2 linked regions of the Notamacropus eugenii genome follow. The protein of the gene in region 1 purifies or fractionates together with the protein of each later gene. This does not show direct contact. Links are inferred from orthologs where the notes say so. Each region holds a gene or a part of one and is shown in the gene's direction. Other genes may lie near its edges.

Region 1 (15,329 bases):
CAGGTTGAGTCACTTGTCCAGGGTCACAAGGCTCCTAAGTGTCTGAGTAGGGATCTGACGCAAAATGTACTGTCTACCTATTGTGCCACTTAGTTACTGATATGGTTTGTGCTATTGTTGTAATACACTAGTCAACTACTATTATTTAAGCACATACCACTATGTGCCAGCACTACACTGAGCTGGAGATACAAAGTCCTTGCTGTCAAGGCACTCACAGTTTAATGTGAAAGGAAATGCAAACAACTGTGTGCAAACAAAATACAGAAAGGATAAATGGGAAGTAGCCTCAAAAGGAAGACACTAAGATTCAGGAGGACTGGTATCCTAATGGGAAGTCAACTTCTAACGCTAATGCACTATTAATGAAGCTCTGAGTGGGTCAAGCTAGTCTCAAAAACAATTTGGAACTATGAGAGAAAAGTTACTTAACTGCTTATTGTCTATCCAATAATCTCTTTATATAGTAACTGGTCATTGACAAAGAGAAAAGTCCCTAATGTAACTAAATATTCATAGTATCACTCTGGGAGAAGAAAATTGTAACCAAGATGGGTAGCCCTCTCCCGAGATACAGCTGAACAAATAGAATTATATGAATTAAATAGACTATAACTGTGACATAAACTATGAGCATGAGGAATTCAGAGAAACATGGGAAGATTTGTATGATGAGGTGATACAAAGAAAAGAGAACAAAACAAACAATATACGTAACGATTGCAATAAAGTGAATGAAAACAAGACCAAAAAGCAGTTGAATTCAAATTACTTGTAATGAACAAGTTTGCCTCTGGACAACAAACGATGAAACATTTCTTCTCATAGTAGAGAGGCAGTGGGGAACTATGGGGGCAGAATGTCATACATACTGTCAAATGAAGTTGTTTCTGTCAATTGGTTTTGCTCAACTGGTTTCTTTATCACAAGCTCAATGAGGATTAGAGCATAGGGTTGGGGGGAAGGGCTGTATACCAAGAAATGATTGTTATTTAAAAAACCAAAGGTACCAATAAAACAAGGAAGTCATTGCTTACTTCTATATTTAACTTAAAAAAATAAAAAGAGAGAGTTTCCAGTCTTGCTTTGGAACCATGAACTAACTAACTCTCTCTCTCTCTCTGTTTGTCTTCCAATGAGAGCACTCTGGAGCTCAGGCTATGGTTTTCTCTTCCCCTGCTCCCTTCAACTCTGTTAGAAAAGGCTACTGCTTACATAAGACAGGGCACATGTACTGGCCTTATTAAATCTTTGGCATTGTGTCTTTTTATTTTTGCTTTGTATCTTTCCTTGAACACAGGTCAGCAATCCTGACTTGGACATTACTAATTTTGATGGCAGCCTTGTGAGTCCCAGACATCAAGAGCTTTTGGGTCATCTCTCTGTTGGGAGCTGACATCAAGAGAAATTTTCTTCATCAAAAAAGGATGACAATTGCCAGGAGAAGAAACCCAAACTCTGGGCTTATTCCCAGGGACAGTGATTCTCTGGCCTGTGGCACCAGTAATGTGTTGTATATAGCTCAGAAAAAAATAGGGCAGCACAAAGCAGAACATAGGGAATATCTCTAGGTCTTTGCATGGGGGATGAGAGGAAAGCCCTTCACTGGCAATGCTGTAGCAATGCTCATGCCCCTAAACTGAGGGGATTTATATCCATAGGGCAGCAGCTAGGTCCATAGCAATACTCCACCCATCATACTAAGGGGAGCAAGTAAGTCCAGACCCCTACATGATAAGAAGTGGAGTGAAAGCTGGGATGGGCATGGGGGAGGAAATAATAAGGAGCCCAGCACAGAGGGACAGAGGGAGACCCCTGTATTGGCAATACTCAACACAAGATGGGGCAGTGACAATTACCTGAAATAACACTCAGGTCCAGACACAGGAGGGATACAACACAACACAGCTTTGTTGGCACAGTCAACAATAACATGAAACATTTATTAAGCACCTTCTATATGCCAGGCACTATGTAGGCCTCAGTGGCAATAGCAGTGAGTGGTGGCTTGAGACACAGTGTAAGGGGTATGGTTAGAGACACAGATCTAGTACGGTGGGTTATAGCACAGACAGTGACAAAGGAGGGTACGTTGTATCCTTTTGTTTACTGTAATCTAGAATGATTGGCCTCTGCACTTTGCTACTAATACACATTCAGTAGTCATTGGACAATTTCTTCCCTAGAGAGCTTGGAAGACCAAGGAGTGGCTGTTTTGGGAAGTGACGTGCTTTCTGGTGGCAGGAGGGAAGTAAAGCAGCCTTCTCAGCCCCTCACATTAGAGAGACAGTAAAGAAAAGCCCCATAATGAAACAAAACTCTGGTATCCTCCATGAGATTTCAGACAGGGTGAGTTCTTAGCTGATAGGGTGCCAAGCAGATGATACAGCAAGGTGATTCTTGATAGTTACCTTGGCACTAGGACAGGCTAAAAGCAAGAGGATTTTTTAGCTTACCTGACTCTTGTAATGAGGATAGATGACAACAGCAAGTGTCATCATTTGCACTGTAGCCCTGATATACCTGGTGGTGATTCACTGTGAACTGCAAATATATGGCATCACCCTCACCCAACATGAGGACGAAATCATTTAGACCAATCATTTGATCCCAAAAGGAGACATAGGGCCTGGAATTTTAGGTCTTTGTCCTCCCATATTCAATTACTTATTCGGAGAACCGTTGCATTTTTTTAAAGTCATGTTTTGTGTCTGTAGTCTATCTGCTTTTGTTTTTTCTTTCAGTGCCACCTATGTTAGCAGATGTCTCACAAGTCTCCTTTTGTAATAGCCCTAATGTCATTCAAGTGATTAGAAGTCTACTAGAACACCATTAAAACACCAAGGGGTAAGATGTGGTAGGAGCAATATCCTAAGACCTTTAACCCTCACCTCACTTTCTATTCCCTTTCCATCATTCAAGCTGGACTAATTTTTTTTTTGTTGTTGTTGTTTGTTTGTTTTGTTTTTAAGGCACTGACACAGTCTTTGAAACTTTATTGGATCAGAAGACTAAGGCTCAGGACACTGTCATATCTTTCTTATCTCCTTAATCTGAAACATTCAGGATTTCCTGGGCTGAGGCTACTCCCTCAGGTCTCTAACTATAGAATGGAAAGACAACTGGCACTGACTTTGAAAGTCTTCCCCCTGCTCTTTGGCTAAGTAGACCTTTTTTGTTAGCTAACTGTTAGATAAACTATGTGTCTGATTTCACTACAGTTTCAGATGTAAAATACCAGGACACTCATCTGAATAAGACCCTATCCTGGACATTCTGTTTCCGGCCAAGAATAACCAGTCTAGTTTGGAGGAGAGTACCTTAGATTTGGAATCTAAGAGAGGACCCCCAGTCTTTCATTTTTTGGGTGGTGGTGTTGGTGATTGATTTTAAGCAGGTGACCAGGAAGCTATACCAATGGCTTGAACCCTAATGTCCTGAACCAATTAAATCTCAAGTACAGTCTCAATACCTTTAAGGAAAAACCAGCCTCACTTGCATGGGGTGAGGCCTTAGGATGTTGCTCTCATCAGACCCCATCCTTTGGTGCTAAGATCTTAACAGTCTTCTACCAGACTTTCTGTCCCATAAATGGTTTATGGATGAGATGAATGAAAAGGCTGAGAGGTAGAGTTTCTGGATAATTAATAATCAATGTATTAATTAGGCTAGCTGATAATAAATTGATGGCTAGTGGTTTCTCTTGGTAACCAAAGACAAAACCATGGAGATCACTGAATGCTTAAATATCTTTGAGAAGGGGGGTATCCTTGACAGGTAAAAACTCAACATTGATTGATGAACAAGTAATGAGGGGGTGGGCTTTCAAATGAGGATGCAGGCTGAAAGCCTTCAGCTCTTCCTGCTGAGAACTTGGCTTGATCATGAGACAGTAATCTGAACAAAGGAATACATCTCTACCCAAACTGCTTCATTTTCCCCTGCATGAGATGGGTTACCCCCAACTTCACTGGAGGGGTGCAAGGACTTGCTTTGGGGCTAGAATTCCTCTAGATTAGATTCTGTTTACACTTTAACCAGAAGTAAAGTCTTGTAGTTGGGTGTGGTTCTGCCCAAGATCCAGGACCATGTTCCTGAAGATTTGGGCAATGTCATCTATCAACAATGTCTTTCAGAGACTGACTGCCTTACAGGGGCTGGTCCCTGAATGAGGACATAAAGAAAAAAAGCTTTAATCCTAAATTAATTATTAGTTATTAAAATAATGGAAAAATAATCACTTCTCTTATGAACTGTTACTAAACAACCTTGACATCAAGGATGCAAGGACTCTGACTTAGAAGGCACTGAAGGTGGGGAAAAATAAACCCAGTAAGCTAACAAAAACAAAACATGAAAAAAAAATTGTGATAACTCCCTGAACGAATGACTGAATAGGTGAAAACAAAGACTAGAAATCCCAGGCCTTACTTTCCACTTTCAAGGGAACAGAATAATGGACCTAAATGATATGGTACATTGGTGATGCCAAATAATTTCAGTTCACAGTAGGTTTCCGGATACAAAGAGGTTACTATGAGTAGGATCTGCATCAAGCACATTAAGGCTACTGCCCAGGTGATGACACTTACTGAGGTCACTCACTGATCCTCATCACAGGTTGGGTAATCTGTAATAAGGTGGCTAAAACATCATTGCCTTCCTACGTGTAGCCTCTTAGGGTTGGTAGTGGGAATCATTCTGTACTGCGAAAGTCTTCCTATCTCCTTCTCCCCAGGAACCTAAGGGTAGGGTGGGTGGGTGCCTACCAGATTTTAGCCCTATTAGATTCCACTTATAAAAGACTGCCTCTTTTCCTCCAGTTTGGAGGGGCTGGGCAGACTTTTTCACTTTCCCCATCACAAGAAGGCAAGCTACCTTCAAACAGTGCCACCCCTTGGAACTCTAAACTCTATGCAGAGGAGCTGTCAAAAACAAAACAAAACAAACAAAAATAAAAACACCAGGTACTGTACTAGTAGAGAGGCTCTATCAGTTCTAAATTATAGCAAAATAAAAGAGGGATGGGCTATACCACTGTCCACATGAGTGCCCCCTCTGGTAAGCTTTTGTCCACATGAGTGTCCCTGCTGGTAAACTTTGAGTCTTTGCCCACTTGGTTGCCAGTAGGACCTGCTTCCATGGGATCTAGGCAGATTGTTTCACCTCCTTGTTGTCACAAGAAAGGCAATACTTTCCTTGCATGGGGAACAGCATTGCAAAGATGGGAAATAGAATGGTGGATGTGGGGAATGTCAGGTAGGCCAGTTTGGCTAAAATGTAGAATTTGAGAAGGGGAGTAATAGTTTAATGAACCTAGAAAGATTGGTTGTAAAAGGTTTTCAATGTTAAACAGTTTTTTATTTTTATCTTAGAGGAATTAGAAAGCCAGCAAAACTCTCTGAGGAGTGGAGTGCCGTGATCTGTCCAGTGATTCAGGAATATCACTTTGGTAGCTGTATGGAAGATGGATTAAAGTAGAGACTGGGTGCAGGGAATCCAATTAGGAAGCTATCATAGGCTGAGTCTGTCTTAGTGAGTTGATTTGGTGTTTCAAGTTTGAAAATGGAACAAAATGAGATACCCATGGGATATCTAACAGTTAACAAAAAGAAGTTTGTTTAGCTATAGAATGGAAAGGATATTCAGCTAGGCTATATCTCTGTCTGGTAAATGTAGGTCATTCTCATTTCCATGTGAAAACACCTCTGGTCAGTAAAGCATATTGAATGTGGCAAATTTCATGGTACTTCAGTGTCTGAAGGGCACTGACTACTCATGGGTTGGCCTCATTTGTGCCTTTAGGTGATCAGAAACTCATATCAACCATTGGAATGTTAGGCCCCTGAATCAAGTTTCAAGGATAACTCTTCCTTTTAGGGGAAAAAATCCTAACCTGATCCACACTGTGGATACTACTCCTACTCAATAGGCTACCTTAACAGTACAGACTAGGTGATGACAACCTGAACTAAGGTGATTGCAATATAAATAGAGAGAAGGGAATGGATGGATTGAGAAAAGTTGTGAAAGTAGAATCAGCAAGTCTTGACAACTGATAGGATGTGGGAGGTGATAAAGGAGAGTGATGAGTTGATGTCTAAGACCTTTTAACCTGGGTGAGGGGGAAGGGTGGTGGTACCTATAGTAGAAACAATGACGTTCATAAGAGGGGTGAGTTAGAGGATAAAGAGAATGAGTTCTGTTTTGGACATGCTAAGTTTCAGGTGAATATTGGTCATCCAAGGAAAATATCTAATAGGCAATTAGTAGTACAGAATTGGAGCTCAGGAGAAAGACTAGCAGCGTATCCTTAGATCTAAATCATTTGCAGAGACAGTAATCAGAGCTTAAACACATTTTCACCCCCTCTCACCCTCCTTCCACCCCAAGCAACTGGTTCATTCTTCTGCTGGTATTAGAAAAAGTATTGGACTATATCCAGCCATATATAAGGAGGTAGCATGGTACAATGAAAAGACCACTGGCTCGGGAGATAGAGGACTTGGGTTTAAATCTTACCTCTGAGGTTTACCTGATGTTTGACCTTAAGCAAGTCATTTAATCTCCTTAGACCTGTTTTATCAATAAAATGAGAGATTTGGACTAGATGCCTCTCTTTCAGGTCTACATCTCTGACCTTTCTATCCTCTGTTTCCTTATGTACAAAATGAGAGTAGAACTGGATGATTACTAAGGTCCCTTCATGTTCTAACATTAAGTGAGACAATTCTAGTAATAATGATATAGCTTGTATTGAAATATGAAGTTAAAAAATGAATCATTCTTCTATTTCTTCTTTGCTTCTTATGTTGCCACGAGAGAAAGAGACACATAGCTACCACAGCCTGCATGCTAATATCCAGCTTCTTGATGGGTCAGAAGGAACTTGGGACCCAGAACTCAAAACTACAATTAATGCTATTTCAGCTACATCAGGAGTAAAAAGTTTGTGGGCTGGCTTGGACAGTAAACAGTCCTTTTATAAACTATAGGAAAATCATTCAAAGTTCAAATAACTGACTTGCAAACTATATTTAATATCCATAAATAAGTTTTCTATTCACTCTCTCGCTGTGTTCAAGTGGATTTGGGGCCTAAAATGTCTACCTTGGCTATTTACACTTATCAAAATAACATAATTGCCAAATAAAGACCAATCCTAATTTCTGGACTCACCTCTCCCTATGCTACAGATTGCTTTATTCTACAGAATTCATTATTTCGGACCACCATTTCTTATTGGAGTTTTGTTAAAATAAAAACAGCTAAAATGCAATGTTATATCATGAATACAATTATTAGAAGAAGCACATGAAGGATATCTGGATAACAATTAGAAACAAAATTTTAAAAAATCAAATGTCAAGGAAAATAAAAGTTTGGAAAATATATCTGGGGAAAACCAAATGCAAAAGTGGAAAAACTGAAATGTTTTCAGAGCTCAACTATGTGATCTCCTTTATTTCTAAGGCAATACATATTCACCCAACCTTGGGAAATGATTTAGAGAACCAAATGAAAGTAAGGTTTCAAAATATTTGTTAAATTACCTTAAATCATGTTACTGAATACCTTGATATAAAATTTACTTTTGAACATCAGGAATTAGATGATCGGTCACTTATTAAGGATGAGAATACATCTGTCCTTAAGTTGTATATGAGTGTATTCAAACCAACTTAACTTTTTTCTGGTAAATCTGACTTTATGTGGTTAATTAAAATCAACAGGAGTATCTTTTTTAAAAAATAAAAAGAACATTTCCACAAGTTACTAAACCAAGGAATCTGAATGCTGAAATCTGCTGGAAAAAAAATAAGTTTTGATTAAAGAAACTTATTTGCTTTCCATAAAGCTTAGATATACTAACATTTTTAATAAGGTAGAATGAGAAAAACCAGGAATGCCATCTGAAAGTGGGGGAAACTTTTATGAGTACATAACTAGCATTTAAGGCACAGGAAATTAAAACTATCTCACAGAATCTGTCCCATTTCATTTTTATTTGTAATAAGAAATCACGTGAATTTGGCTAAGACTAATTTAAAGAATTCAGGGTTGGAAAATGGAGCCACTAACACAAGCACTTATACGAGCCAGCAAGCTGCACTTATACAGTGACTTAACTATCTCAAATGAGACAATGTTAAGTGCTCTGCAAACCTTACAAGTACTGACATAAATGGCAGGATCTAAGCCAGTCACAGCTTAGGGAAAAATTGGCTTGGCAGATGAAAATAACGGTATTGATGACACAATGGGGGAAGAATCATTGGACAAAAAATACACAGAACCTTAAAATGAAAACAGCAGTAGTTGGAGGAGTGCTATTTTGTTTGCTGTGTTTGGGTTTTTTTGGTGATTTGCCATTCTACCATTCCTCTAATCCAATTCCCCTCCCCCCCCTTCTTTCAGTACAAGGAGAGAACGTTTAGATTCAGTTAAAAAGATTCAATGTCCACATAATCGCAAAAGAACGGCATGCCGTGGGTAGTAAAGAATAATCACTCCCTTTGCGATTTGGCTGATCTACTTTTAGCCAGAAGCTTTGATACAGACGAGAATTCTTTCTGTTGAGAAAAACATATCCATGTCACGAAGGGGCCCAGGCACCCGATGCCCCCTTCCCGGGTCCGGCGCTTAGGCCGCGGGCTCCGGGGCTATGCTGGTCCCGGGCGCGGCCGTGCATCCCGCACCAGCCCCGAGGGCTCCGGGACGCGTTCTCCAGGCCTCGAGCCAGCCCGGGGCCTCCGGAGACCCAAGATGGCCTAGCTAGGGGCTGGACGTCTGGACGCCGCCCCGTCCCTCTCGGCTGGCTGGCACGTAGGAACTAAATATTCAAACAGGAGGTTAGAAAAATTCAGGCGGCGGGGTGGGAGCGAGTTTTGGGGACACGACACCCGGAGAGGAAGTCACGCGGGGACGGCGGCGAAGGCCAAGTCACAGGCCAACCGGTCCTCCGTCCCTTCCAGCCCGGTGGAGGCTTAGGGTCAGGGAAATAAGAGAGGCGGAATCCGAAGGATAGAGGGAGGGCAACTGGCACGGGAGGCACGCGGGACTGCGCAACCGCCCCCCCACCCCCGCCCTCGCGCGGCACCGCCTCCGACACGCCTTCTCTCCCCTCCCCCTCCCCCTCTCCCCGGGCGCGCCGGCGCGTCGTGCCATCACGTGACGTCTCCGCGCGTCCACGGGCTCCGCGCTGCGGGGTTGTTGGCCGGAGAGAAAAGCCTGCGAAGTGGCCGCGGCGGTAGCCCGGAAGGTGGGGGCCGGGGAGAAGTCGGGGTGACTGGAGGCGGACGGGCGGTGGCGCGAGGGGTCCACGAAGGAGCGTGGGAGGGAACTCCCGAGTGTCATCTCTTCCTTCCTTTCTCCCCCACCCCCCCCCTTCCGCACCCTTCCTTGTCCCGTTCGCCTCCGTGACGTGCCGGGATTCGGGCGCTCGAGACCGGAGGGGGTCGGGCGGCTGGGGGCCAGGGGTGCGGGTGCGTAAGCCCGACGTCTCCTGGCTTTGGCCGGCCGACCGGCGGCGGGGAGGACGGGGATGGGGCTGGGCAGTGCCCGGCCCCCGGCTTCTTCCTTTCTCCCTTTCTTTCCTGCCTCTGCCGGGTCCGAGGGCCAGAAGCCGGCGGCGATCGTGGCCTTGGCCTCTGTCTCGCCCCCGGCCGCCTCTGTGAGACGGAGGGAAGCGCTGGCCGCGGCTGTCCCCGGTGCGAGAGGCGGAGCAGCAGCCATGCTGCCCCGCGGGGGGCAGTGCCGCCGGGGCGGTGTCGGCCTCGGCCCGGGAGGGCTTCTTGGGGAGGGGGCGCTGCACGCTAACTCCCGCCGATCCTGGGCTGCGGATTCCCCGGGCCTGGGGCTAGGTGCGGTCTCTCGGGAGGCCAGCCCACCTCCCTCCAGCTCGAGGCTCGTTTTCGTCCCTGCTCCGGGTCTGCGGTGTCGTGACCAAGGCCCCCGAACCTGGTTCCGGCCGCGGTCTTGTTACTAGTTTGGAGAAAGGAGTGCTAATTCCCTCCCCCCCCGCCCTTGCCCGTCTGTCTTTAACGTGTCTGCTGCCCAGTGCTGGGCATCCACCCCGCGGGGCACGCTGCCCCCCGCCCGCTTCCCTCTCCCCGTTGCGTCTGGCCCGCGGACTTGCAGACCTTTGTTTTGGTGGGAGTTGGAGCTAGCAGCTGGTCAGTCCTTGAGAAAACTGCCGAAAATCAGAGTTCACACGGTGCTGGGAAACACAAAGCGGGTTGCGTTATGGGCTTTGGTTTGCCGGGTATAGACTTGTGCTTGGTTCTGTCTGTCTGTCTGTGTCTGTGTCTGTCTCTCTCTCTCCACGTTTCTTACCAAAGAGTGTTGTTTTCTTCCATTGTTGTAGCTTATTTTGTTCTCTGAAGGCTTCTGGAGAAAGGCACTTTTTGAGGGTGCGGGGAGATGGAACAGTCTTCATGGGTAAAATCTGAAGATGTGTAAGTTTTTTCTGACAAAATCTGCACACTAATGAAATGGGATCTCGAATTCACTCTTTGTGTGATAGTGCTTTTCTTTTGGCTTTTATTAAAGTGGTCCCTTAAATCTTCTATTTTGGGAGTGCCTGCATGCTTCTTTGGCTAAAGATCCAAAACATTGAAGGGAAAGGGAACTGAATCGGAACGCTACACAATCAACAGTAAAAGAAATAGTGTCTCCTATATGTAATTGCCATTTCAGGGGCCAGGCATTTTTCTTCTACTTTTGTGTATGTCCATCACTTTAAAAATAAGAGCACTGAAATTGTGAGGAGTTGGCTCTTTCTATGGTCGCTGAAACTAGCAGGCTTATGAAGATTGCTTTTAAATGGAGTTGTTGTTTTGGTAAGAGCAGATAAATACATTTCCAATTTTTCCCCCAGTGGTACAGGAAAAAAACTCAGAAAATAGCTGGGACTTGATGAAAATAGGTCAAATAAGCCATTTAAAAATAAAAATTTGATTTGATGGTAATTGAGCTTTAATTTGCCAAAGCAAATGTTAAATGTTTTCGTGTTGCTAAATCAATACATGTTTTTACTAGAGAATTTGGAATTGACCAAAGGGAAATTGTAGACAGAAATGCATGGAACTTAACTAAATTTTATAAAACTCTTTCTGTTTTTTGTTGTGTCTTTTGTTATCTCCAAGATATGTGTTGAATGTTAATCAGTTTAACGGATTTGTAGTGGTCATGTAAGAATAATATTCTAAATGTTGAACCGAGGTAAAATGGAGGATAGAAATATTTTCCTGTTATGTGGGTCAACTAGGGAAGTATATTTTCCATTAGCACTATCAGTTATAATTTTTTTCTATGTACTTCAAAGTAATTTGTTGAAATAATGGAAAATAATAGAATACAGGTTTTTTTTTTAAAATTTGTATTTAATGTAAATTCTACAACTATAATTTCTGTGCTTTGCTTGATATACTAAGATGAAATTCCTGACCTACTTCCAATAGGGAATTATGGTTTGAGTTACTTTTCTGTTTCATTAGGGTTAAGAGAGTTTGCTGAGCTGTCTTTCTCTTTCCTTGTATCTGTTTATGACTCCTGATCATATTTTTCCAAAACAGCTGGTTGAGTTAAGAGCGGACACCAGCTCATTGACACAGATTTAACCAACTTAGCATATTTATTGTAGAGTCATTGGTCAAAGATTTAGATCTAGAAGGGACTTTAGAGGTTATTTAGTCCAGCCCCCTCATTTACAGAAGAGGAAACACAGGCCCCTAGAGATTAAATGAGTTGCCTAGGATCACAATGACTCTATATTATATCTCAAACCTTAGTATTTAGCATTAAAGATTATCTTGTCAAATTTCATGTAGTCTGAACCCTTCATTTTATATTAAGTGATTTAGAGTTGTTCCTCATTATCTTACAGGTGACATGTCTTAAGAGGTTAATCAATTGTCCAAGGTTACACAGCTAGTTTTTAGCAGAACCTTTTATATTTATAAAAATTTTTGCATATCACATTGTTTTTTTTGTTTGAGTAAGATGCAGAATGCGAAGAGAGCTTACTATTTTATGAAATAGGATACATACAGCATTGACATTTTAAAGAGAGAATTTAAATCCTTAATGTCCCCCTAATTAGAAAGATTAAGGTTGTAAATAGTGTCAAACTACAAAGGAAAAGTTTTTCTGTTTGTTAAATGAGGTTGTGGCCTATGGCTGGGAAAAAGTGAAATATAGTTAATTGAAACTGGTTTTAAATCAAGACTTTTGCTGTAAAGTATAATTTGTACTTTAGCAAATGTTAGTAAACCAATATATTAGTAGAAGATGATAGTAGAAGCTAAAAAGGAAAGCTTTAGTCCATTCATTTCCATCTAAAAGGGGAGAACTAGAGAGAGAGAGAGAGAGAGAGAGAGAAATTTCAGGTTTACTTGGTAGCTAACTCCAATTTTCTCTTTGCTTTTGCTTCCCTAACCTTTCTCTTGAAAAACTTAATCAGTGTTAATTTCACTAGGTTAATTGAGGTTGAAAGGTTAATTTTTTTTTCACGTAATTTGCTTCAGTTTTTAAAAATTTAAATTTTGGGGGGATGGAATATATTTGACATTTGAAAAAATATCTTTTCCATTAGAGAAGTGAGGGGAAAGGTTAACAAATAATGTATATCCATTTGCAATATGAGGTAATTTTATATCTTCATTAATTAGTACAATTTTGAAAGACAAAAAGTAATAATTTCTCTTATAACGCATTTAATTTTTCTGACAGAAATACCCTGAATATTTTTAGAGCTTTGATGGAAACGACAACGTTGTCATCTTTAAATTAACTGGTGATATAAAGTCAATAATGCTAGGTAAGTAATAATTAATTTTAAGTAGTTCACTTAGGTATGATTTCCTGTGTCTGTGTGAGAGTGAGATTTTTCCATTAGGTGAACTGCTTCTTTTATTAAAGGCAGAGGTCCTGTATATTCACTGTCTTTTTTTCCTTTTTTTTTCGTTTTTGGTAAAGGTTCCATGTCAATAAACAAAGGGATCTAATTTTAGTTTTCTGTCCTGTCAGTTTTCCTAAATGATTCTGTCTTTATGTAAATGCAAGCAGGCACTGAAAGAACAGAAAAGAGTGGGGGGTCATAGCCTACAAATTTCTAATTAGTCCCTAAATCAAAGTATTGTGATTACTGCTTTTGTAATTAAACCGAATTGAGCATGTTTGGTAAAATATCGTTAATGCACAAATGCTTTGGGTTGAGTTTATATTAGAGGACTTGCCAAGTTCAGAGGTACATTCCCCTTTCAAGATCATTTGCAGTGTACTTAGATTTTTTTTTTTTAAGGTTGCTAAGTTAATTTCCATCCTGTAGTTCTATGTTTGATCTCTTAATAGGTTTACTTACAGATAAATCCAAATATATCACCTTTTGATCAAAAGTAAAAGTTAATTTTCCTCTCTCACATCATTCAGTAAAGGTGAGGCTTTGTTATTTTTAATGATAGTGACTATACAATGTAGGCTTCATACTTGGCTCAACTAATTCCTCACTTGTGACCTGCAGTAAATTGCTTGATTTCTCTACATTTTAGTTTTTTCATCTGTAAAATGGTTGGACTAGATATCTCATTGACCTCTTAATATGCATTGTTCCCTCAATACATATTTAATTGGCTAGTTTGAAGTTGAAGTTAGGCATACCTAAATCATTTAAATCTTGGCATATTGAGTTCATTTTATAAATCAGTTCATTTTTAAAAAGGTTGATATTTTAAACTGTCTTCAGCTTTTGATTTTGAATAGTTTGTGGTATTAAATTGCTTGTACCATTGCATAAAAAAATAAGAAAAAATATCTTATATTTAACTTAAAGAGGTAATCCATTTGTTCTACTTCATTGGATTTTTGATAATCTTTATCCTGCACTTTGGATTATATCCAAGGATATGGATGTTGGAAGAACCACTATAAGTCCCAAGATTTGGTATTATATGGGAAGATTGAAATATTCTTGATAATACAGATTGTGAGCTGTTTTAATTTCAGGGATTGGGCAAGGTCTTTATTCATTCATGGCTTTGTTTTTTTTAGATGATTTCATCTATATGGGGATGTCCAGGTGAGAAAACTACAGATACAAATTGATAGTTTTTCTGTAACTTAGTTTTAGGAATTCCATGGAGTAATTAATTAATAAGAAGTTAGTTGATTTATCTGGGGTCACACAACTTGTATGGGCCAGAGAGGAATTGAATCTAAGTCTTCCTGACACTATCCCTTGACTTTTAGGTGTAGTTTGTAGGTTTCTACAAGGTATGTTCAGATTGTTGAAAATTTTTTGGAAGAAAAAAACAAGTAAGCTCAAGTTATAATGGCCCCAGGTGCCTTTGGAAAACTGAATTAGATATGAAATAATTTTAAGAATGTTCCCAGCCCTCTTACTGTTATAATTAAGATGATCTTAAATGATTTAGCCCTATGAAAGAAGAAAACAACAGAACCATGAAGATCTTGAAAATCGATGGATAGAAGTTCTAAGATAAGTCTAGCAATTACTTTATTTTCCCCACTGAAAGTGATATTGGGCAAGTCACTTAATTTCAGCTTCAGTTTCCTTATCTATGTGAAGACTAAATGTGATAATACATGAAAAGTACTTTGGAAATCTTACATAAGTTGCTATTTCTGCCTCACAGGAGGTCTCTCAAACAGTGGTGATTTATACGAGTAGATTACTGCTCTTTGTTTTATAGATCTTAAAAGGAGGAAAGCAAAAAGGGATACCACCTAATGCAAGCTACATTTGTTAAAAGTTTTTTTTTTTTATTCTCATTCTTGTGCTCGACTTTTACCCATTTTAATTTAGTATGTGAGACAAAGTATTCATAAGACCTTTTCAGAAATATTCCATGATCTCAATACTCTGAGCCAAATTTAAGAACCCAGATTTGTAGGCCTCCTAAAGGATCCTCTAAAGAATATTTAGAAATTTAAGAAAGCCACTTGATCCAGGGAGAGGTTCATCAGATTAGAAAATTTCATTAAGCACCAACCAGATACTGGGTTTCAGTTCTTAAAGGCTTGTCTCCTGAAATGGTTAAGTAAATTAATAAAGGTTTATTAGAAATATCGTAATTGGATTAAGAAGATGCTTGGAAATAAGTACAAGGAAGGCAGATTTTGAAATAACATCAGTCTTTTTGTATAGCCTTCACAAATTGCTGCTTTTGTGTATGATCAGAAAATAGTGATGAAAATTAAATGCTAAAGATTTATCAATAAAACTGTGCACATTTTGGAGGAAAATGTTAGATTATATCTGATATAAATTCCTGGTGGTGTAAATCATGATTTCAGTTAGTAAAAATGTT
Region 2 (15,329 bases), on another chromosome or scaffold:
GAGTTTATATCCTAATAGAGCTTTCTAATGTAAGTCAAGTGGAAAAGCCTAGGGGTCTTTAGGGTGCTGGGGCAAAGCAGATGACTTCTTCTCAAAGGTCATTGCCATTGATAAAACTATGTCTTCTTCTGATAGGGTCAAGGTCTTTGATGTGTTGCTGGAGGCAAACAGAGGTTAATTGCCACGATCTTTGTCAAGTTGCTGTTCAGTAGTTTTCAGTTGTGTCCAACACTTGGTGACCCCATTTGGGTTGCTTGTGTGTGGGATGGCTCAGGTCCCTACATAAATCAATTACTCAGAGGCCTCTCAAAGTGATGACAGAAAAGAGATTTATTCGATTCTCGAGAATCTGGACAATCCTACACCAGTTCACCTGGAGTAGGAAAAGCCGAAGACAAAGAAAAGACAGTGATTTATATAGACTCTAACGCAAGTCCCTCCCCCCGCCCACTGACCATTATTCTCATTAGCTGAAAATATGATCTTACATTCTAGACATGAAATCTAACCAATCCCTTTGGAAATGAAGACATTGAAGAATTAGGTAAACTTTATCCAATCATTGAGACCCTAATGTACTACACAGTTTTATATCCTTATATGGAATTATTCTGTTCTAAAAATATAGTAACCTTGAGCCTCTCAGTCTTACCTCACCCCTGGAAGAAGAATTACAATCTGAGAAGTCTTCACTAAACCTATCCCACTCACTTGGAATGATTTGCCATTTCCTTCTTCAGCTCATTTTACAGAAGAGGAAACTGAGGCAAACAGGGTTAAATGACTTGCCCAGAATCACACTGTTAGTAAGTGTCTGAGGCTGAATTTGAACTCATAAAGATGAGTGTTCCTGATTCCAAGCCCAGCACTCTTGGTCATATAGCTAGTCTATTAAGGGTAACACTTAAAACCAGATCTTCTCGTACCCAGAACTGACCCTCTATTCACCATTCATCTTTCAATTTGAAGAATGTAAACATTAGCATATTAATAAAGACTATGGTCACACATTAACACAAGTAATATCCAATGATACATTTTTCAGAGATGCTTATAATTTAATGGTAAGTTCCTTAAAGTCAGGGAATATCTTGCTTGTCTTTGTGTATCTGCAAGGTCCAGTGATGTTTCTGGCACATAGTAAACACTTATGTTTATTAAATGTTTTTGATTAATGAATTTCCTGATAGGACTCCATTGACCTCTGGTAAATTTCTATGCCCCGCACATGGTCAAAACAGGAAACTGAATTGTTTCATGATAACACTGAAAGGCAGTGTTGGTATCTCTGGGTTTTTCAGACCTCCCCCCCCATTTATTTTGGTGAGTGGAAGCAAGAAATAATAGCAGTAACAACAATAAAAGGAGAAATAATGACAATGTGGAAAATGGGAGGAAAAGAATGTTTTCACAGGGTGAGTTACAAAGTTCTGAAACAAACAACGCCATGCAGTGTCTCTAAATATAAAATGAGGAGTCTATCGGAGCCTCCTGTACACTAATCAAATTGTAAAGCCTTATCCTTACATCAAAAACAAAACATTTTCCCAAGTACAAGGTGATGCTGGGGGAGGGAGTGGGGCAGAATAGACAACTGTTTATCTGAAAAAGTGAAACTTAAGTTCAATATGAATTAGTAACATAGATTTTTTTTTTTTGTGGTTCAGTCTTTCTTCAGTTGTCTGACTCTCTCTGACTCCATTTGGGGTTTTCTTGGCAAAGATACTGGAGTGTTTCACCATTTCCTTCTCTAGCTCATTTTGCAGATGAGGAAACTGAGGTAAACTGGATTAAGTGACTTGCCCAGGGGAACCCAGGTAGTAAATGTCTGAGGTAAGATTTGAACTCAGGTCTTTCTGACTCCAGGTCTGGTGCTTTATTCATGGTGCCACCTACCTGCCCAAATAGTGAAATAGTGCCATGTGGTAAATAGACCTTAGACTTCATGGATAGGCATAGGGTCCAGAAGTAAGGAAGGGAAAGCCCTGCTGCATTCTGTCCTGATCAGAATTCAGCTGGAATATTGTGTTCATTTCTGGATGCCACATTTTAGAAAGAACTTTGAGAAGCTGGAGACCATCTAAAGCACAGGTTCTTAATGCTTTTTATGTGTCCAGGATCCCTTTGGCAGTCAAGCAAAATACATGGAACATAAAGACCCCTTCTCAGAATCATGTTTTTTTAAATGGGCAAGATAAATTCATAGGATTACAAAGGAAACCAGTTATAAACCTGGAATCAGGAAGACCTAAGTTCAAATGTCACCTTAGATGCTTCCTAGCTGTGTGATCCTCAGCAAATCATTTAACCTCTGTTTGTTTCAGTTTCCTCATCTGTAAAATAGGGATAATAATACCACCTACTTCACAGGGCTGCTGTTTGGACCAAATGAGGTAACAGTGCTTGGCACATATTAAGGATTCTGTAAATGTTAGCTATCATCCTCATCACCATCATCACCATACATAGAAAGATGTAGGGGTGTTTAGCCTTATTGAAGAGAAGAGTTGGAGCAGAAATGATCATTTTAAAAAACTCTGTGAGGATTTTCATGTGTTAGAGGAATTAAGACCTTTTTCTTCATGACCCCAGTGGGTAGAGCTCTATGTCATTGGTTGAAGCTACAGAGGCAAAAAACAGCCTTAAAACCTTCCCTAATAGTGAGAACTATTTAAAAGTATCCTGAATTGTGGGTGTCACTCTCCCCATCACCCCAACCCAGAAGTCTTCAAGCAAAGGCTGGATGACCACTTCTTGGGCACGTTGGGGCAGTTGGGTGGTGCAGTAGATAGAAGCCTGGACCTGAAGTGTGGGAGATGAGTTAATGTCCAGCCTCAGACACTTACTACTTGTATGACTCTGGCTAAGTCATTTAGCCTCTGTTTGCCTTAGTTTCCTCATCTGTAAAATGAGAATAATAGCAGCACTTACCTCACAGGGTTGTCATGAGGGTCAAGTGAGATAATGTTTGTAAAGTGCTTTGAAAACCTAAGAGTCTACACTGTTCACACAAAGACTAGCAGATATTATATTGTAGAGAGTATTCTCATTCATGCACAGGTTAGACTAGGCAGGGCTTCCTAGACTTTTTCCACTTCTGACCCCATCTTGTGTTTCACCAGCATTCGATGGCGTTCGTGGTCTAAGGGCACTCAAAGTGCAAAGTGCACATGCTCTGTGTGTGTGTGTGTGTGTGTGTGTGTGTGTGTGTGTGTGTGTGTGTGTGTGTATTCAAAACCAAGGCTGCAGTGAAGCTGCAGATATAAGTGCTACCAGGAAACACCTTGGATCCATTGCATGTTTGATTTTAAATTAATTTTTGGTTGGTGCACTTTCAGAAATCTTTTACTGTTGCTAGATTTTTCATGCTCTCATAAGGGATCACGACCCACAGTTTGAAATGCTAGACTAGATGACATCTGATATGACCCTATCAATTTTAATCAATTAATAAATATTTATCATTTTATTATGTATGATTCCAGGATTCTGTATGTAATGATTGTTATTCTTATTTTTGAAAGGAAAATTTTTACTCCAATATAAGGATAATCAGGAACTGGAGAAAATTGGAAGTAGGTGTTTCAGAGCAGTTTCAGATCTGTTTCATGGGAACTCCTGCCAGGGCGTTAGAATGAGGGTGGGTGTTGGGTAATGGAATCAAACAAAAACTAACAATTTTTGAGAAAGAAGCATGGTCTTGGTCCTATGGTAGAGTTGTGAAAGGTTACTGAGTCTCATCCTGGGGCCTCCAAGGGATTTTTTTTGGGAGCAGGGTTTTTGGAACAAATCTGGAAATACAAAATGTGTAAATGATTTCCATTGATAAGGAAATTCTATGGGAATCCACCCAAATAGAAGGCAATCTGGGAATGGGAAAGGGGACTCTGGAAAATGGTAACCAGGCTTAGGGCAAAAATAGCAATTCCAAATTCCTGCCTTAGACTTCAGACACAGTTACTGATTATGATGATAATATGCCAACATTCTTTTAGTGATACGAGGGTGACTCCTCTGTGAAAATTAATTTATATGTATACAAATTCACTGTACAGTTTACATAGTTATAATTTATATGTGTATGTTAAATATTAACATATTGCATATCACATAAAATTTATATTAATAAATTACATATTATATACTTATATATGTATATATAAGTATGTGACATGACATCATTATATAAGTATATAAATTATATATTCAATCAAATAAAATTATGATAAATTAAATCATATAATTGACACATATACATACATATATATGTGTACATACATACCTATATACTGTAATACATATATAACATTTGGAGAATATGGGAAATGTTACAATATGTATATGTGTATGACATATGTATATGTATATATACAGACATGTATATTGAGAACTTGAGGACTATATCTTAACAGTTACATGGATGAGAGATAGGTATCTGTCCATTCTGTATAGGTAAATAATGTTGGTGAAAAATGAAGATTCTCTTCATTTCTTGATCCACTCATATATATATATATACACATATGTATGTATATATACACATGTATGTATATATACACATACACGCACATATATGTATATGTACACACTCACATATACACACATATGAAGGAGTACCTTGGTACAGGTGAATTTTAAGAAGAATAGCGTTAAATCAGGAGAGGGAAACATTGATGATGCCTGGTTTGAGGGGAGAATAATCTGCTTTTCCTACCACATGCCACACAAAGGCACTTAGCCCGGGCTCACTTGCTGGAGAGCCCTGATGACGACATCTGGCTAGGGAAACTGACACGATAAAGTCTGGATCCTCTGAGCTCGTGCCGCGGGCCGTCAGTTCAATCGGACCCCATTCAGAGTCTGGATCGAAACCATCTCTGTGCCCATCAAACACTTTATCTCCAGAGCTTGGTCAAACGGACTTCCAAAACATGGTCAAAAGGCAGACAGATTACAAACAGACTGGGGGGGAGGGGAGAAATGGGGAGAGCCTTTGGGACCCAAAATTTTGTGAAAATGAATGTTAAAAGTTAAATAAATTAATTAAAAAAATTACAAACAGACTGGGGGGAGCCTTAGGGTCATAGGGAAACTCAAGGCACGGTTGCCCGTAGTGTTTCTTGTAAAACTGGCTTCTGAACCCGGTGTTCATCTGGTCCCAGAGGAGTTACATCTGGCTTCAGTCCCAAGCTTTACTTCTTGGGCTGTCTTCACCCCAAAATAAAACGGGGAAGCCCCTCCAAGCGGATTCAGGAGCCGCGTCGAGAGCGGGCTGTGAAGACCGAGCACCGCGTTCCAAGGCGGTTCCGGGGTGATTGTTACCCAGAGCGCCCAGGTTCCCTGCTGTGCAGGGATGCCCCGGGGCACTGAGGCAGGTGCCAGCCGGGCGTGGGAACCCCCTCCCGCAAGTGCGCGGCTGGAGAAAAATGCCCCCGGGGGCACGGTCGTGCCTCCGGCAATGCACGCTCTTGGCAACTTTGTGTTTTTCAGTTTATTTTTTCCCTAAAGAATTCTTTTTTAGAAACAAATCACAAGGTCAAAGAACGAACCGGCCCGTCCAAGTTCTGATTAAGTGTCCAAGAGGGGCAGAAGGAGACCTAGTTTCCAGGGCTACTCCCGAAGGCGCAGCCCCGGAAACCTCGGGGTCCCGGGCCACGGGGCAGGAGCGTGCGGGGGGCAGCGGTCCCCAGGCGACCCCGGGGTTTCGCGAGAGCTCAGACTGCGGGAAGCCGACGGGGGCGGGAGGTTCCCTGCTGGGAAGGCAGCTGAGCCCAGGTGCGGGGCGGGGAGCGAGGAGCCCTCCCCCGGCTCGGCCCTCCCCGCCGGCCCCCGGGCGGGAGGGACTGCGCCGCGCGCCAACCCAGGGGGCGGGGAAAAGCCCGGATGAAACCAGCCGCGCGGGGCCCGGCCCACTCATCGCTTTGAATTCCAGCGCGGGGGCGGGCGCCGCCCTCCTCTTCCGCGCGCTGATTGGTCGAGGCCGGGGCGAGCCTGCCCTCGATTGGGGCGTGCCGCTGTCCGTCTCCTCAGATCGCGGGGCTGGGTTTGTTGCGGGAAGGAGACGGCGGCGTCGTTCGACGACGACGGGCGGAGGAAGGGACGCGACGTCGCCGCCGCCGCCGAGGCAGGAGCTGAGGCAGAGGTGGGGTGAGGGGAGGTGCGGAGCGCAGAGGCGGCCAGAGCTTCGGCTTCGCATCCCTCTCGCGGCGCGCTCGCTGCTTTCTCCTCGCTTTTCCCCAGCGGCGCGGCCCGGACCCGAGCGGCGGAGGCGGCGAGGCGAGGCGGGCCCGGGGGGCCTGAGAGCGGCGGGGTCCCGGACCCCGCCTTCGTGCCCAGCGCCATGTCCTGGATGTTCAGGAGGTGAACGGGCTGTGGGGGGGGGGCGGGTAACGGTTGTCCCCCGATCCCCAAATCGGCCCCCTCCGGGAAGTCCCCGCCGTGCGCGCGCCGGGTGGGAGGGGCCCCATCCCCGCCCCGACCCTCAGCGAGGGGTCCCCGTGTCCGAGACCTTGGCCCGGGCCGCTGGGGGAGGGGAAGGGGCGAGGGAGGAGGAGGGCACCGGGCATCGCCGCCCCTCACCTGTCCCGCTGCGGGAGTCCCGCTTAAAGGGGTCCGAAAACCCCCAAACACGCACAGCCCCGACCTGGAAAGAGACCGTGCGGTGCGGCGAGCTTGACCGGAGCGCTCTGTTTACCTCCCTTTAGGACGGACGCGCCCCAGGTGTTCTTTAAAGTGTGAGTTCCCCTTACTGCGTTTTAAACTTGCGGCCCCGGAGCCCACGCGCGGAGCTCCCGGGGGCCCGACCCCGCGCGCCGCTGCGGGGCCCCGGGCTTTTGTCTGGATGGTTCGGAAAGGAAACGCCGCTCGGGATGCGGGGCCGGTGGTTTTCCTCGGACGTAGACTCTCAAGTTTTCCCCGGGCGGGGGCTCCCCGTCTGCGTGCCCGAGCTGCCCCACAGTGTTCGGGCACTTGGGGTGCCCTGAAGCGTGAAGTGGGGGGGAGGGGGCGTTTGTATGTTGGAGAGGCAATTTGGGGTTCTGGTGAGGAGTCTGAATCTTACCCGTCCTCGGACCCTTCATGGTGCTTGTGTACTGTATATGTATACGTATGTAACATGTAGCGTGTGTGTAGTGTGTACATACATGTGTGGTATGGTGTGTGTGTATAGTGGGTAGTGTGTATGTAGTCTAGAATGTGTGTATATACGTATGTAGTACGGTGTGTGTATGTGTAGTAGGTAGTGTGTGTATAAATAGTACATGGCATGTATATGTGGTATGTGGTGTATGTATAGTATGTAGTGTGTGTATATACGTATGTAGTACGGTGTGTGTATGTGTAGTATGTAGTGTGTATAGTGGGTAGTGTGTATGTAGTCTAGAATGTGTGTATATACGTATGTAGTACGGTGTGTGTATGTGTAGTAGGTAGTGTGTGTATAAATAGTACATGGCATGTATATGTGGTATGTGGTGTATGTATAGTATGTAGTGTGTGTATATACGTATGTAGTACGGTGTGTGTATGTGTAGTAGGTAGTGTGTATAGTGGGTAGTGTGTACATAGTGTGTGTATATACATATGTAGTACGGTGTGTGTATGTATAGTAGGTAGTGTGTGTATAAATAGTACCTGGCATGTATATGTACTATGTGGTGTATGTAGTATATAGTGTGTGTATGTATAGTATGTAGTGTGTGTATAAATAGTATATGGTGTGTGTATAAATAGTACATAGCATGTATATATAGCATATGGTGGGTGTACAGTATATAGTGTGTGTACATATATATATGTTTACACACTATGGGTACGTACACATAAATGTATAACAAGATTGTGGCCCCCCTGGAACTAATGAACCCTTTAGCAGTGGAGATAAACACATTTAAAATGCAGATTCACTGTACAAACACTATTGGCTTTTCGGCCTGGAATGGAGGCCTTAGGGAAGGTTCTAGCAAGGTGCTCTGGGACTAACAAGAGATCTTTTCCTGGGGCTTGGATCTAGGTGTCTTCATGGTGGGGTGGGAGGGGTTGTCAGTCAAGAAACATTTGGTGCCTACTCTGCCAGGCAGAGACAGAAAGAGGTGGCACTTGAGTTGGGCTTTGAAAGCTGGGAGAGATGTTCTAGGATGTAGGGAATTGTGAGAGAGAAGTTTGAAAGAGTTGGTGGAGTCCCTACTGGGCAGGAATAGGGAATCTGGACTTTATTTTATAGGAAAGAGGAGGAGTATGAATGCTAGACTAAGGAATTTGAACTTCATTCAGTAAAAAGGAGAAGCTATTGAAAGTTTTTGAAATAATGTACACAAACCACTTAGCAAACCTGAAAGCACTATAGAAAGTGCTTTTAACTATTATTTTCTGAGTACAGTATGTATGATAAAACAGACTTGTACTTTAGGAAGATAAATTTTGCTTTGAGTCTGGGTGGATTGTAGAGAGAAGAGACTGTGAAAGGTGCTGGGAACTTGAACTAGAATGGTCACAGTGGAAATGGAAAAGAGGGGATGCATTTTATTGATTTATTGTAAAAACTTGTTGCCTGGATATATGTGAGTTGAAGCAGAGAGAGGCAAAAGGTGACTGAGCAGCCTGACCAAATAGTGATGATGCCATTATCATGGAGGAATTGAGGAATTCTGAGCTGCTAGGAGAGAGGAAAGTTACTAGACTAATTTGGCCAGAGTAAGGTAGAAATGCTGGCGTTGCATCCGTCCAAATGCAGGTGTCAGGCAGGAGTGGGAAATGTGGAACAGGATCTGGGGAGAGGTTGGAAGCCATTGGCACAGAGTAGCAATTGAAGCACTGAAAGGAAGGTGGAAAGAGAGCTAAAGAAAAAATATTAGGATTTTGCTGCTTCCATATCCGTCAGTGGAAATTTTGCATAGTTTTTGTACTGATTTTTGAAATAGCATAACATATTAAAGTAAGTTTTACAAAGATTGGTGTTTCCAGACAGATTTTGAAGAATAGTTTGGATAAGTGGTTCTATGTGCAAAAAACTGAAAGAACCTCCACATTATTCTTTCATTTTTAGTATCTGTTGATTAAGAGAATACATGATAAACTATTGTGATTTAAATGTTTTTAAGTGAAATCCTGATTTATTATAGTACTGTAGCATTATGAGGCATAAGTGACAGAGTGGATAGACACCTAGACCTGGAGTCAGGAAGACCTGAGTTCAAATTCAGTCTCAGACATTTACCGTCCTGCGTGACCCTGGGCAAGTCATTTAACCCCTGTTTGCTTCCATTTCCTCATCTGTAAAATGGGGATAATAGTAGTACCTACCTCCCAGGATGGTTGTTGTAAGGATCAAATGAGATGATTTTAAGGGGCTTAGCGTGGTGCAGAGTAGGTACTATATAAATTTTAACTATTATTAGAATTCAGTCTGTAGGTTTGTTTAACTTCTACTGAATCATTAAACAGAACTGGTTAGTCTTGAATCGTTGACCAAAAACTGTATCCTCAAAATCCAAATCCAGCACCAGCATTGTATAAGGAATTGGGGGGAGGGGGGGCGGTTTGTGTGTGTGTGTGTGTGTGTGTGTGTGTGTAGAATATAAACAGCAATTTTTTTAATGGCAAGAGTTTGCTAGAATCTTAGCACAAATCCATTGCAGGTGTGCTTGAACTTTTCTGTGGACCTAATTGTTAGTTTGATAAAGCCTTTTGACCCCTTTTCAAAATAATGTTTTTAAATACATGGGATTACAATGAAAACAATTACATTGAAATACAGTTAGCAAAGTTTTCAAATTAACAGATCCAGGTTAAGTACTTGTAATTAAGTACTTAAGTACTTTTTAAATACATGGGATTACAAATGAAAACAATTACATTGAAATACAGTTAGCAAAGTTTTCAAATTAACAGATCCAGGTTAAGTACTCTTTCATGACTTAGTCATTAATGATGTTTATGTTTTCTGATTTATATATTTAAATGTACTGATTGATATGTTTGGAGGGAAGACTGGTAGCAAGCATATGCTACGTAAATACAGTAAAACGCTTAGGAAATGACTCTTAATTGTAAATCACTTTTGGAGAGGAGAATGGCTATTTGATAAAATTTCGTGCCATGTGAACATCAATTTGATATTTCTAAAATTGCTGTTACCTATTGAAATAATCATACTCTCATATAGTAGAGGTAAGCTATTTTATAATGGCATTATTTTTAATCCCCTCATTAAGATTTTGACATACAGGTAAAGTTACAATATAAAGCATATATTTTGAATTAAAAGAAAGTTTTTTGTAAATAGGTTGTCAGCCACATGGAAAGGAACATGTGAAGTCATTTATTCTGCAGGACTTTACATTTCATAGTTGGGGTGACAGATGTATTATAAAGATAATCTGTGGTCATGGGGAAAGAATTTGGGTAGGTCATGTTTCAGGAATAGGGGAAACGAGAGGAACTATACCATGGGACCCTAAAATGAAGGTCAAGAGGTATTGGACTTGGGTGGGAGGAGCCATTGGTCCAGTTATTTTGGACCAAGTTTAGAGATGGTGACTTTTAAGGGATTGTTGATTGGAATATTTGGTGTGTACGTACTTGATGTGAGCCAGAAGAGGGTGGTATATAAAAAAGATTCACTGAAACCAAATGGGCAAAATTCTCAAAAATCTGTTCACAAGGATATAGAAATAGTACTTTATAAAACAGTACACTATTAAAGTTATATTCCTTAAAATTGGATTTTACCTGAGTGTTTAGAAGAAAATAATTGGAACCTGTTTTAGGTATTCAGAATACGTTACATTAAAATTGCAGGATATATAAAATCTATAAATACTTTACTTAATTCCAGGAAGAAGAGATACTAAATTTTCTGAACTAATGGTTCCTAAAAGTAGTTCAGTCAAGGGACAATGAGAGGTCCTAGATGGACCATGTCACTTAAAAGGGGAAAGAGGGAGAAACCTTGGAGCAGGAAAGGACCTTATTGATCCCAGTTCCTTTGATGCCAAATTTGGTTTGTTTGTTTTTTTTCCTTTTTCTCCAGTTTTACCATGCTGCCTGTCAACCCCTCATTTTATAGATTGAGGACAAAAGTGATGGGACTTGGTCAAGGTCATTCAGTTAATGGTAGAACCAAAGACAAGTATTATGACTCCCAGATCACTACCATACAACCTTCCTTATATATCATCTTTACAATATTGAGTAACAATTTGCTTATATTTAATAAAAAAAGACAACTTCATGCAAAGTAAGACTTGACTTCCCGTCCTCCCCCCACCCCCCTTGTTTTAAATAGGGATCCTCTTTGGAAATATTTGCAGTCATTCCAATATGGAGTCCATGGAAGTTTTTCACACTGCACCTATTCCAATTTATTTTCTCCTTTTGAGCCTGAAGAGGTCCCTCCAGAGGACTTGATAGCTAGTGATGAAGATCTAGATTCAGTTTTATTTGGAACTTTGCGAGGCCATGTGGTTGGATTACGATATTACACAGGAGTGGTAAGTAGAGTATGATGGTTCACTTGGTTTAGTAGTCTGGATATTAATTCTACAGTTGAAATATTCTCAAAGGAAATAATGTTTAGCAAATGCAATTTTCTGTGGTAGGGTTTACCTTAAATTAATTACAAGGTAGTTAATGGTTTGGTAAGAAGGAGAAAATGATGTTTTCAAAAAATGCTTATTACATGCTAAATAGTCAGTAGTATCTTAAAAGATCTATCATAATATTTTTGTATTGTATCCTTTACTTTTTTGATATCTCTTCCCTTCTTTTTCTGCCCCATTAAAAGTGTTTCTAGCTCTGCTTTTGTGGTCTTTTCACTATCTTTCTGTGCCCTGTGCCTCTTTAATCCATGCATTTTCTCTGAATCTTTGCTTTTGGACCTTATCTACCTCTACAAGAGGTACTGGTTTCCTCTGTTCCATATATGAGTTTCTGTCTTTTGTTACTGGTGTACCATATGTAACGTGTTTCTTTAAGCTCTTGCTTCTCCTCAATCATGTAGTCTAATTTTGGCACTCAATAAGCTACCAACAAAGTAGACAGTTTTTGTTTTTTAACTGAAGTATTGTATGTTTTTATAATGGCCACTTTGCAAAAAAGAAAGCAGAAAAGGCAGCACTGATGAACTAATAAAGATGAAATGAGCATTTGAAAAAATTCCAACAGCTATATCTATTGTGACAGAATTTTAAAGTGTTTGATGGTTAGTCTTAGCAAAATAGGATATTTTGGGAATTTCAAAACAAACTCTTAACTACAAAATTAAGATACAGTTTTGGTAAATGAACAAATTGGGAGGGGTGAGGATTATCTGGTTAGGACTAGCTCTTTCAGCTATGAAAAAGGACAGTACCAGAAAATAGAGTTTACCACATTATGTGAGAAGGGAGAGAGAGAGAATATCCTTCTACAGCCTTAGTCAGAAATCCCGGAAAAAGTGTTCTGGGTACTACACTGTAAGCTTTGAGTAGTACAGTTTAAAGGAAGGTACTATAAACTAAACTTATGTTTGATATTTTATTAGGTTAATAATAATGAAATGGTGGCACTTCAGAGAGAACCTAATAATCCATATGACAAGAATGCAGTGAAAGTGAATAATGTCAATGGAAATCAGGTGGGTCACATAAAGAAAGAGCTTGCAGCCCCTTTGGCCTACATCATGGACAACAAACTGGCCCAAGTTGAAGGGTAGGTGTTTGGTTTGGAGAATTTTACAAATACCTTAGGCTAGTTCTGGAGTTGTTTGTATTTTTCTGATTGGTAATCAGTTATCTTTTCTTAAGTCTATAAAGCACCAACCACCTTTAATCATAGCTAGTGTTGTGGTTGAAGATCAACCATGAAAATGTCTTGAGAAGTTTCAGCAAGTGGAATGTTCATGAACAGATCAAACAGCTGAACATTAGTCTCTTCACACACCATCTCCATGCCTTTTTATCTTCTTGTAATTTGTAGGTGTTTTCATAGGTAATGGCGAGTTAGGTGACTTTTTTTAGGTGTTTGGGTTAGTATGTGGGAAGAGTACAACTTAAGAGTAGTTGTTAATTGATAGCAGAACAGTTCACTTAATGCTTTAGCTTTACTTTCTGTGTCTTATGGTTATTCATATTTATATGGAAGTTTCTTCACTTCTTCAAAAGCAGCATCTACATGCTATAAGACATTCTTGGGTATAAAGAATTCACTTTAGTGTTCATAGCAAGCATTTCCTATCTCTGTCATTCGTTTGACACTGACCATATACTACCTTGTATTTTTATTTATTTTGTCTGGCCTTTTGTTTGTAAGCTTCTTGAAAGCAGAGAACACCACTTAACTGTTTTGCCATTGCTTAGGGAAGTGAAGTGACTTAATAAATGTTCATGGATAATTCTAATTAATTTGTTCAGTAGAAATCTTGTAACCAGAACAACAAAAGTAGTGTTTCATTGGACTTTTTTCTGATTTAGAAACTACTTAAGAGTTTTCAGTATCTTTTAAAAGTTGGCTGTTGAAAGCGATAGATGCAGGAGCAGCCCCTGATGAGCCTATTGCTTTGCCGATTGTTCTGAAGTAAATCCAAAAAGTACAGTCTCTGTCCCTTATTTCATTCTCAATGCATATAAATGAAACAACTAAAGGATGAAATGGCACAATGTAATCCAACTTTGGATATGTAAGTTATAAAAAGAAATTTTATTTCAAAGTTCTTTTAAGTAGCATGCTTGGCAGTTTTAAAATCTTGATGTTGTACCTTGCTTTGGCACGCTAATGGTCATAATGCTGTCAGTAGTAAGCGAGATTTATATCATACCTTAAGGTTTGCAAAGCACTATAGAAATTCTCTCATTTGATCTTGTAAATAAGTTGCTGACCCTTTTGGTGTAACAAGTTTCTCATAAGATGTGGTAATAAATACTATGAAGATTTCATATTTTTTAGAAATTTACCCTCTTTAAGCTACTCAGAAATAGGATAGTGTGTAGTAATATGTTAAATTCATAGGTATTTCTGACAAAGAAATAAAGCCTGTTTAATTATGAGTCTAATCCTTCAGCCTACTTGACACCTTCTCTATGAAGCTGAAGTGTAGGAAGAAACGGGAAGGAGCTTGTGTTGGAAGTGGGAAGAATCCTTATTCTATCAGTGCTTAGTTCTGGAAATCATTCAGGGTCAGCTTCAGTCAATTCTATCCCTTCTTACTTGTTCAAAGACTTCCTTATCTCTTTTATGCTTCAGTTATTCAAGGAGGGTAGGTTTCTCACTTCTTTAAGTTGCCCTATAATCCAGTTATATTATGTTGTAATCACTGTTCAATCTAAATTTATTTATATTCCAAATTGAAATATTATAGAAATTGTCTTACTGCACTGTCTTATCTCTTCTAACATCCTGGTTCTTAGTTAACCTGTTCTCTTATTTTCTATGGCTTATTTTGCTTTTTTCCTGCTTAGTTCTCAGGCACAGTCTTAGCAATAATGAGAGTTGAGGTAGATAAGGGATTTTCATTATAATAGTTCTTCATTCTCTTTGCCTTTATAATTTAAAGGCTAAATTTAGTGAAGATATTTAGTTGTTTTAGTACTTTTGTGGAAAAAATGCTAACAAAAACTAAGGGATTTTCCATATTCCTCATTTTTTTCCCCAAATCTTTGTAGGGTGGTCCATTATGGAGCAAGCAATGCTTTTACTATGCCTGTTCAAATGAGTTTTTGGGGCAAAGAAGAAAATAGAAAAGCAGTTTTAGATCAGTTGAAGAAACATGGATTTAAGTTGGGACCTCCACCAAAAAGTAAGTTCAAGACTTTATTATTTTGACATATTAACTTTGTTTTTTATTTGGGTTGAATTTGTCAGGTTGTTGCTAAAAATGAAAAGATTTTAAGCCTATTTTGGGGAAAGTAATTTTGTTTTGTCTCCCTGTTTTCCTGAGTTCAATAAGGGCTTAGTATCTATCTGCTGAAATGTCAAAATTTGAACTTTTTCTTCTGCTGTCTCTATAGAGATGACTGGGATTTAAATATGTGCTTTTATGAATCATAAATATGAAGTGTTGGCTTTCAAGGATTTGTTGGAGGAAGGCTTTTTATTTTCTCAGAAGTTTGCTTTAGGATTAAACTTCTTTTGTCTAGATTTTTTTAGTGAAACATACAAGTTTTAAAAAAAAATTTTGTATATGTAAAGTAATCTTTGCATTTGCCAATTTGGTTTGTTTTTTGAGACACAGGTTCAGGATTTAACTTTACTAGTGCTTGGAGTTCTGAAAGAGCTGGACCAAGTTACAGTGTACCTATTCATGCAGCTGTACAAATGACAACTGAACAGGTTAGCTTCTTTTCTGTTCTGGATTG

What was found.
Region 2: the proteins of RNF146 (region 1) and HLTF purify together in Homo sapiens (affinity purification with mass spectrometry; 4 studies listed by BioGRID and IntAct, with this or other methods). This does not show direct contact. The link is inferred for Notamacropus eugenii from reciprocal best matches to the Homo sapiens genes RNF146 and HLTF.

Annotation. Positions count from the first base shown.
Region 1 is NC_092873.1:211,136,527-211,151,855, forward strand, and holds the start of RNF146 (E3 ubiquitin-protein ligase RNF146), read left to right. Parts: upstream 1-8,574; 5' UTR 8,575-8,852; intron 8,853-9,133; exon of another isoform or gene 9,134-9,262; intron 9,263-9,584; exon of another isoform or gene 9,585-9,710; intron 9,711-9,766; exon of another isoform or gene 9,767-10,175; intron 10,176-10,366; exon of another isoform or gene 10,367-10,457; intron 10,458-10,477; exon of another isoform or gene 10,478-10,841; intron 10,842-12,732; 5' UTR 12,733-12,820; intron 12,821-14,049; 5' UTR 14,050-14,077; intron 14,078-14,432; exon of another isoform or gene 14,433-15,329. UniProt on the Homo sapiens protein: E3 ubiquitin-protein ligase that specifically binds poly-ADP-ribosylated (PARsylated) proteins and mediates their ubiquitination and subsequent degradation. May regulate many important biological processes, such as cell survival and DNA damage response.
Region 2 is NC_092877.1:337,864,347-337,879,675, reverse strand, and holds the start of HLTF (helicase-like transcription factor), read left to right. Parts: upstream 1-6,103; 5' UTR 6,104-6,340; coding exon 6,341-6,360; intron 6,361-6,704; coding exon 6,705-6,734; intron 6,735-11,284; coding exon 11,285-11,489; intron 11,490-12,520; coding exon 12,521-12,687; intron 12,688-14,636; coding exon 14,637-14,770; intron 14,771-15,199; coding exon 15,200-15,303; intron 15,304-15,329. UniProt on the Homo sapiens protein: Has both helicase and E3 ubiquitin ligase activities. Possesses intrinsic ATP-dependent nucleosome-remodeling activity; This activity may be required for transcriptional activation or repression of specific target promoters.